Linked DNA regions of Bombyx mori. The protein of the gene in region 2 interacts with the protein of the main gene of each other region in a pairwise test. Links are inferred from orthologs where the notes say so. Each region holds a gene or a part of one and is shown on either strand. Other genes may lie near its edges. The genes, in order: SNF and interphase cyctoplasmic foci protein 45.

Evidence for each region.
Region 1: the proteins of interphase cyctoplasmic foci protein 45 (region 2) and SNF interact in binary tests that used the Drosophila melanogaster proteins (3 or more experiments, as listed by UniProt). The link is inferred for Bombyx mori from reciprocal best matches to the Drosophila melanogaster genes THG and snf.

Annotation. Positions count from the first base shown.
Region 1 is NC_085117.1:15,209,093-15,213,725, reverse strand, and holds the start of SNF (U1 small nuclear ribonucleoprotein A), read left to right. Parts: upstream 1-1,615; 5' UTR 1,616-1,772; intron 1,773-1,856; 5' UTR 1,857-1,954; coding exon 1,955-1,958; intron 1,959-3,244; coding exon 3,245-3,483; intron 3,484-3,575; coding exon 3,576-3,844; intron 3,845-4,043; coding exon 4,044-4,203; 3' UTR 4,204-4,204; exon of another isoform or gene 4,205-4,254; intron 4,255-4,633. UniProt on the Drosophila melanogaster protein: Binds stem loop II of U1 snRNA. It is the first snRNP to interact with pre-mRNA. This interaction is required for the subsequent binding of U2 snRNP and the U4/U6/U5 tri-snRNP. Plays a role in regulating sex-lethal splicing.
Region 2 is NC_085110.1:11,452,938-11,456,844, reverse strand, and holds interphase cyctoplasmic foci protein 45, read right to left. Parts: upstream 2,261-3,907; 5' UTR 2,205-2,260; coding exon 1,617-2,204; intron 1,045-1,616; coding exon 727-1,044; 3' UTR 567-726; downstream 1-566. UniProt on the Drosophila melanogaster protein: Adds a GMP to the 5'-end of tRNA(His) after transcription and RNase P cleavage.

The DNA.
Region 1 (4,633 bases), on a different chromosome or scaffold from region 2:
TGACCATGTAGCCTGTTCTCGAGCAATAAATAGAATAAATACTTCAATTTTAGATATTCAATCACAGCAATAACTTCCACAAAATAATAGTGAAGAATTCGACGCAATAGAAGGGACTGATTTAGAAAAAGGAATTTGGGATTTTCATAAGTTGCTTGTCAAAAAGCAACTCTCTACATGTAATACACTTGCACTGGAAAGTCAAGGCTTAAACGAATAGTTTAAACACTATTTATCACAGGCAGTTGTTCACCTAAAGTATGATCCTATACTTTATTGGCAAGAACAAAAAAACTCTATTTATCACCATGTTCACTCAATAGCCGTGATGTATATGAGTATCGTAGGATCATCTGTTCCCTGTGAGCGCCTTTTTTCGATTGCCGGCAACATCGCAAGTGATGAGCGGAACCGCTTGGATCCCATTAGACTTGACAAATTGTTGTTTTTAAAAAACTTAGATATGAAGCATTGGGAACTATAAGCTATTGTTATCTACTCTCTTAACTTTTTAATGTAACAAATACATTTAGAAATTAAATGTCTTCTTTTATATCTGATCTGATATTTTGATATGGTAATAAAAATAATTGTAATTATCGAATTCCCTGAACTAATAAATTCCTGATTTTACTGATAAGAGATCCCAGAGATTGTTTATTATGGTATCATTTTTGTTTTTCATAAAATGGATTTATATTTAAATTGTAAATACAAATTTGAAAAAAATCGATTTTTTAGAAATCGATTTATTAGACCTCGATTTTTTTATGAATCGATTTATCAGGTTACGATTCGAATCGATTTAAAAATCGATCTTTTTTGGAAAGAATCGCCATTCCTATTGTGGAGTGGTGGGCAATGAAAAAGTTGATAATTTTGCAAAATCAATAAATAACTTGGGTGGCCAGATTAAAAATATTTCAATTCCATGGCAAGACCTAATTCCTGATATTCGTCAACAAATTAATAAAGATTGGCTCGAAAACAGAAGGCATATGAATGAAACCAAAGGTAAATGGTATGCTGAAATAAATAATGAAATCGGTATTAAACCCTGGTTCGCTAGGAGCAAATATTTCTGTAAAAGGAAGTTCTACACACAGATTTGTAGACTGAGATTTGGTCATTGCAAATTTAGCGCTCACCTTTACCGAATGAAAATAACTTCATCACCAAATTGTAATAAATGCTCACTAAATGAAGAACAAACTTTACATCATATTTTTTTCACATGTCCAGCTTTTAATATTCATCGCATCCTATTTATTGATAAACTGCAAGAGGTTTATAAGGATAGCATCCCGCCTTCTCTTCAAGAATTGCTTAAGTGCCCTGCAAGTTTTAGAGCAGTATATGAATACATTACCTCTACTTTCGGAGACTTATAATGGAGAACACAAATTTTGACTTTATAGTCAGATTATCCAAGAAACACGATTGCGACAACTCTCAACCGAAACAAATGGGAAAAAAAAAAAAAAAAATCTGAATAGACATTTACACGGATTTGAAAAATATTTATAAATGAAGAATACTAAACAATTGGCTTTTTTGCCTTGAAACATAAAATTATATATGAAAATATTAAACTTAAGAATTGGCTGTATGGCTTAGTTCCTTTGCCTTTCTCTTCGAGAAAAACCTTACTACTACTACTATCTATGGTTAGAATGTTAGCTAGGGACCTTCGCTAGAAGTAATAGTGTTCTGTGCTAGGGACGCGCCTGTTTCAACGAAAACTGCCTAGACCTGTAAAAAGAATTTGGAAGGTAAAAACTTTTACAATACCTACTTATGCCTAACTAAACATTTTAATCCAAAGGTAATACATTTAGTATGTTTTATTCTTGCAGTATCCAATTTGATTCCGCCTTCACTCACATTGGTTCAATCGAATTCGTTCCTTGTCACGCCTCTCGTATAAAAAACAAAACTTAGTTTTGTAATCAAAATGAGTAAGTACAAACACAAATACATTTAATAATTTTATCTATTATTCATCTTATTAATTATCACATTATTCACGATAGTTTAAAACTAACGTAACAAAAGAAAACTTATAACCTATAAAGTTTATTTTATTTATTGAGGAATAACAAACGGTGATGAGATGAAACAGTAATTTCACTACTTCACAATAAAAGTTAACTGTAGCCAACTACAATATTTGACTGATGACCATCAACTAACTTTTGTGACAGATGTTCGTTGAACCTATCTGCAATCTATCAAGACTATCGCAATTTTCTGCAATCCCATTCAAAAATATTGTTAAGTACATATCCATGATGGGCTTTTCTAAAACTTTTTTGAAATCAGTGTATACATCTACCTCCAGATTGTTTTAAATATTCTCTAATATCTATTTTAATGCTTTGGATTCCCACTTTACAAATCTATATTGTTCAAGTATGATGATATTATGGAGAAGAGTTTATATAAAATTACGAATCGATTTTGAGTTTTGACTAGGTGAACAGAATTGATACATCTGTAATGCTCAATGTCATATCTTGAGCATCCCAAATGAACTGGTGTTATGTTTTCACACCTCTAGAAATATAAACAGATACTTACTATACATTAAATACATATTGATGCTTGAAAGGCAAACGTGACTAAGCGACAATAACAGCTTTGTACATAAATTATAGGCAATCACCATATTCGATGCGCAAAAAACATATATTTCTATATCTATTAAAATAATTAAATCCTATACCTAGATTCGTTAAAATAGAATTCAGGTATTTCAACTTTAAATTAGTCTACTGTAAAGTTCACGCATCGTCTCTTAGTCATGTTTGCCTTTCAAGCGTCGATGTATAGAGTACTAACATATCGATGCCTCCAACTAACACTACTCTAACTCCAAATTCGTAGGTTTACAGGAGGAGAGTTTAAACGAAAAAAGTTGATAAATATATCTGCAATAATAAAGATTTTATGATTTTTTTTTGTGTAACTAGCTGATTTACTCTTGCATCAAACCTCATTAATAATGAATTTGTAATACTTTTAAAATAGTGAAGCGATTTGCGTGAAAAACGAAAATTTCAAAATTTTGAGTTAGAGTAGTGTTCATTGGAGGCAGCAATATGGAATTATATCTGTGAAGTTAGAGAACACATCATGAACTAAGCCACTCAATGAATGTAAATCATCTTTTTGGCTAAAAATTAAGCATAAATAAATTGCAATACTAAAATATTTGTATTTCATAAACATCAACTTTTTTCAGCAATGGATATAAGACCCAACCATACCATTTATATCAATAATCTCAATGAAAAGATTAAAAAAGAAGAATTAAAGAAGTCACTTTATGCAATATTTTCACAATTTGGTCAAATATTGGATATAGTAGCAATGAAAACCTTAAAAATGCGTGGTCAAGCATTTGTTATTTTCAAGGAAATTTCAAGTGCCACTGTTGCTTTGCGGAGCATGCAAGGATTTCCATTCTATGATAAACCAATGGTAATGTTTCTAAATAAAAATGTCAAGATCAAAATAAATTTATCTAATTGCACAATTTGCTAGTTCGATTTACACAAAACTTTATTTTACAGAGAATTCAGTATTCAAAAATTGATAGTGATATAATAGCAAAAAGTAAAGGAACATTTCAAGAACGACCTAAACGTCCAAAGCTACCTAAAGGTACTGATGATGGGAAGAAAAAGAAAAACAAAGATCCTAGCAGACTTATTGGGCATGGTATCCCTGGTGCTGGTATCCTAAACAATGTTAATGCGGAACAACCTCCCAACCAAATTCTGTTCTTGACAAACCTTCCAGATGAAACTTCAGAGATGATGTTATCAATGTTGTTCAATCAGTAAGTTCACATTCACTTCATTCAAAAAGTAATTTTTATCATCAAATAAGACAATAAAATACACAAAACAATAAAAGCAAAAATTCTAAAGTGTGCAGTTTTAGAGAATTGGAACTCTCACATTCTCATTACTGAAGTTACAAAGATACTTTTTAAATTTTAAGTAACTTATAATTTATCAATAAATTATATTTTTTAGGTTCCCAGGCTTTAAGGAGGTTCGTCTTGTGCCAAACAGGCATGATATCGCTTTTGTTGAATTCGGAAATGAAATGCAATCTGCAGCAGCCAAAGAAGCATTACAAGGATTCAAAATAACACCAACACATGCAATGAAGATTACTTTTGCTAAGAAATAGTGTAATGTAAAACATGTAATTTTAAGTATAAATAAATTGAGAAACTGAGAACTGTTTTGAGCATTGCACTCCGCCTAAACAGCTCTCTGATCTGGCTGTGATATTATCGTGATAGTTTAGAAGTGTAGTTTACTTTGTAGCCTTAAGAATATCATCCGAGACTTAAACCCAACCTGAAAATAAAACAAAGTAGTGTTGTATGCACCACTGTCGTATGTATTTCTGCAATGAATTTTCTTTGTAATTTGAAGGGTAGTCTTCACATGATGCATTGAGACTTCATATTATGATGTCTGGGCTCATGTAACCATTTATTACCAGAAGGGCAGTGAGCCTTTGCCTATCGTATACAGCAACAAAAATAAACTATACCAACAAATCTCAGAATGATACATTTTTTCCCTTTCGTAATCATTGGTTGCCATTAATA
Region 2 (3,907 bases):
CAAACGTACACAAACGACCCCATTCCATACAAATATGAGCTAACTTTTACGCTATCGAGAACGTTATAAAACTCGCACTAAGCACACTAAACTGAAACTGACTGTGCTAATTTCAAAACACGTGTGAACAGCTACTCGCTTACATCACTTTCTGCGCCGTCTCGGCCCAGAAACATTTTACGTCTCGCCCGTTTGCTCAGTACGTGTGATCAAGCCATTAAAGATGGGAAAGCTAATAACTGTTTTACACCAGATGGACCATAAGGCCACCCCGTTCCAAGTGCACCTTAAGATACCGTTTCATTTTCGTGCGAATCATATTCAGTATGCGAAATTCTAACGATAAAAGTTAATGTTATTACTTGTTTGAAGGTTGGAACATCTATCATTTATTAAAATTGAGAATTCAACCTAGATTACAGTGGACAGCTGCACTCATGTTGTCAACGTGACTCAGTCTAAAGACATTAAGTCTGTTTAACTATTTCAAGCTATTAGTAAGGAAAAAGCCAGTACTTTAGAATTATACCTGTACTTCCATAATGGTAATAAATAAAAGACACTAAAAGTTTGGTAGCCTTATTTTTTAGGAAAGCTGATGTTTAACATCAAATACAAAATTTAAAATCTTACATCTAAAATAACTCAACAGTTTAATATAGTATTACGCTATAGTTTAATATAGTATTAAACTGTTCCTCAAAATAAATAGATGTCATTGTTATGTCAAGCTTCTAAATGACTTTCATATTTACTTAACTGATCTTCTATGATTTCTGTTGTAGGACCTATATACATTAAATTTTGTTTAGATTTTTTTACAGATAATATATATATGTTTTCTTTCCAAAATTTATCCTTTAACATATCATCATGAACATCCACAATGATAGATTTGTTCACTTTATTGTGCAATATAGACTTTCGCAATAGAATTGTTCCCCTCTTGAATATTTCTGGTTCATTGTTATAGTTCATGTTAAACTCTTGAAATAAGATTTCATTTTTATCAGCAGACACTGTTCCACTTAGACGCTTCTCAGCCTAGAATGAAACATTACTGTAAATCTTTCACTGATGCTATAGCTTAATATAAGATACAGATTGACAAATTTTCAACCTTTTGTATTAATGATATTGTGTATATGGGCTGAAGTAATGTAACACCATGATGTTTATGATGTCAGCCCTTTTATACAGGCTGTAAAGGATTGTACACCAAAACAAAATGTCCAATAAACTCATATCGTTTAAGACAAGTAAGATACTGAAAACAGTATTCACATACATGTATCAAACATCAGTGGTCATTTAGGTAAGCTTATATTTTATGAAATAATTACAATGGATGTTAAATAACCTATGCTTATTCTATGTCCAGTCATAGATCAAGATTCATCAGTATTGTGCCAAAACTTCAGAAAAATGTATTTTTTTGCAATTTATTTATCATAATTTTTTTCAGAAAGGTTCCCCCCACCCATACACCTATAATTTAGATTGGAAGCAGTTCTGACATTAGTTATTCATTGCATGTCATAAAGAACAACAACGAAAGCTTCTGTAAAATCAAATAAATATAGTATAAATTGATCTTAAATTTGAAATTGATTTACCTGCACAGGGGTCAACTGCCCCTTCAAAATTAAAGTCCAGAAGGTAGTGTTGTATAAATTATTTATGTGTACATCAGCCTGTCTCCACTTCATATAATCTATTAAATTTTCGTCACAAGGATACAAAACAATGCGCCCGTCAAAACAAGGGGGATATTTCAATGGCAGATGTTCAAAGAATTTGTTCCAGTAGAAAACATACGATGACGAAAATTTACTATTTATTGTTGTTAATAGTTTTGCTGAGCGCCGTTTATACAAACAACTGTCTTTTCTAAGTACGAATGAATATTCATCACTTTGCCCAAATGATAACAAAATATCACTATATTCTTTTAAAACAGTATATGCAGCATAGTTCATCAATTTTAGAGCCCGCAAGTCGTTAGGCTTCGTAAAGTTGTGGTCGTCTGCAAATTTATGAAAGCATTTACCGTCTAATCTTATAACTATCCATGTATTTGGTAACAACGAATCATCATGTTCAAATTTTTTTACGTATTCGAAGGAACTCTTTGCCATTTTAAGTACTAGGAAATTTGTGGATAAATAGTGTTTTACAATCCTGGTCGATTTTAATTTCCACATTTAAGTAAAAGCTTTACTGTATTTTCAAAACAAATGATTATTTGCCATTATGGTAACCTAGAAAGTGTTTAATCTATGAACATAATTAATAAAGGTAGCAAATAAGTGTATAATCTATGATAGGTAGTAGTAGTCTTATTTTTTCAAACGGAAAGGCATAGATATCGTACCATACAGCCTAATCTTTTATATATTTTTTTTATTTTATGAAATATGATACTGAAATGAAATGAGATGAGATGATATAATATGAGATATTTTTATGGAAAATGATAATATGAAGTGAAATGAAATGAAGATGATTAATTTGAGATATTAATCAACTGGGATGGGATGAAATGAAATTAAATGTGATGAGATGATATGGGATGAAAGATAATCTCAGTAAAATGGTGGTCAATTACTGAGATTTTTTCAGTGGACTTTTTGGAGGATCCCGAAAAGTTACGTCTGGCGGCTTTGTTTCATTTTCCTATATTTGTTGCACTGTCACAGATATTAAACAGTTAATAAACCACCGTTATTACACATTTAAATCTGAAGAAACACTAAATAGACAAAATAAAACAAATCACACAAGTTCACTCCTCGCGTTCCCGCCAAAAAGTCACTTAGTGTAAACTGGTGGTGAAGCCATAGATAATACCTACACTACTTTGAAATCCGTGAGTAGTGATTCGTTCCGATGAACTTAGATGAGTAGAGCTTGTAAGTTTCGTTATAAGGGGAGAAAAAAAGAAACATAATGCAGAGGACAACAAGACGCCGGAGGGACCTTGCCGCCGGGCGTCATCCCGTGGACTACTCAAGCCCTCGTATTAAGTTTAAGTATACATGTCGTTGGAGTGCGCCGAACACGCATACGAACCCCCCTCTCAGTCCTCCCTGCTTTTCATGGCAGGGAGCTTCTGCCCGGGCAGTGAGTGGGATTCGCCCCGAGGCCTGTTTCGTGCCCCCGTAAGGGGGTGCGACGACCCGTCTTGCTTACGCGTCAGCCGTTCGAGAACTGTCACTGAGCATATAAGCATTCTTTGACCCCATCCCTATTCTTCAAACTCTCTAACAGAATTTATGCCAATTTTATATTACTTATTGCACGTTTATTGCTTAGCATTTGAAATGACCGACGAACATTTGATTGAGTTGGTAAAAGGATATCCTGTTCTATATGACATGAATTTATCTATATACAGGGATCATACAATAAGAAATAATGTATGGGGAGAAATTCGTCGTCGTTTAAGTATCATTTATGTATCCAAAATTTGCATCAAATCTTCTTCAAAGCCTTCATCTGACTCATTATTTATTAAATCCATAGAACATAACCATACAATTCCACTGCTGCTAGCTAACTGTTTTCAGAAATTGCTAGTATTTCGTGGTGTCGCGTGTTGGTATTGTACACAGTGCTTACGAGGGCTGCACTAAAAGTATCGGGAATGGAATATTTCCACTGTTCCTGTCATATTAAAATCTTTTTAATTGAAAACTCCTTGGTTTTAAAAATCGAATACCATTTATTTATTTAAAAAAAGATTCTCGGTCTTGTCACGAGGTTTTGTCAAACTTGTTTAGTCGTTGAGAAAATGGAATTGACTCGAGAAAATTCAAGAGCGATGATTTATTATGACTTTCGAAGTCGTTTAACACAAAAACAGTGTGTTGACCGGATGATTTCTGCATTTGGTGATGAAGCCCCA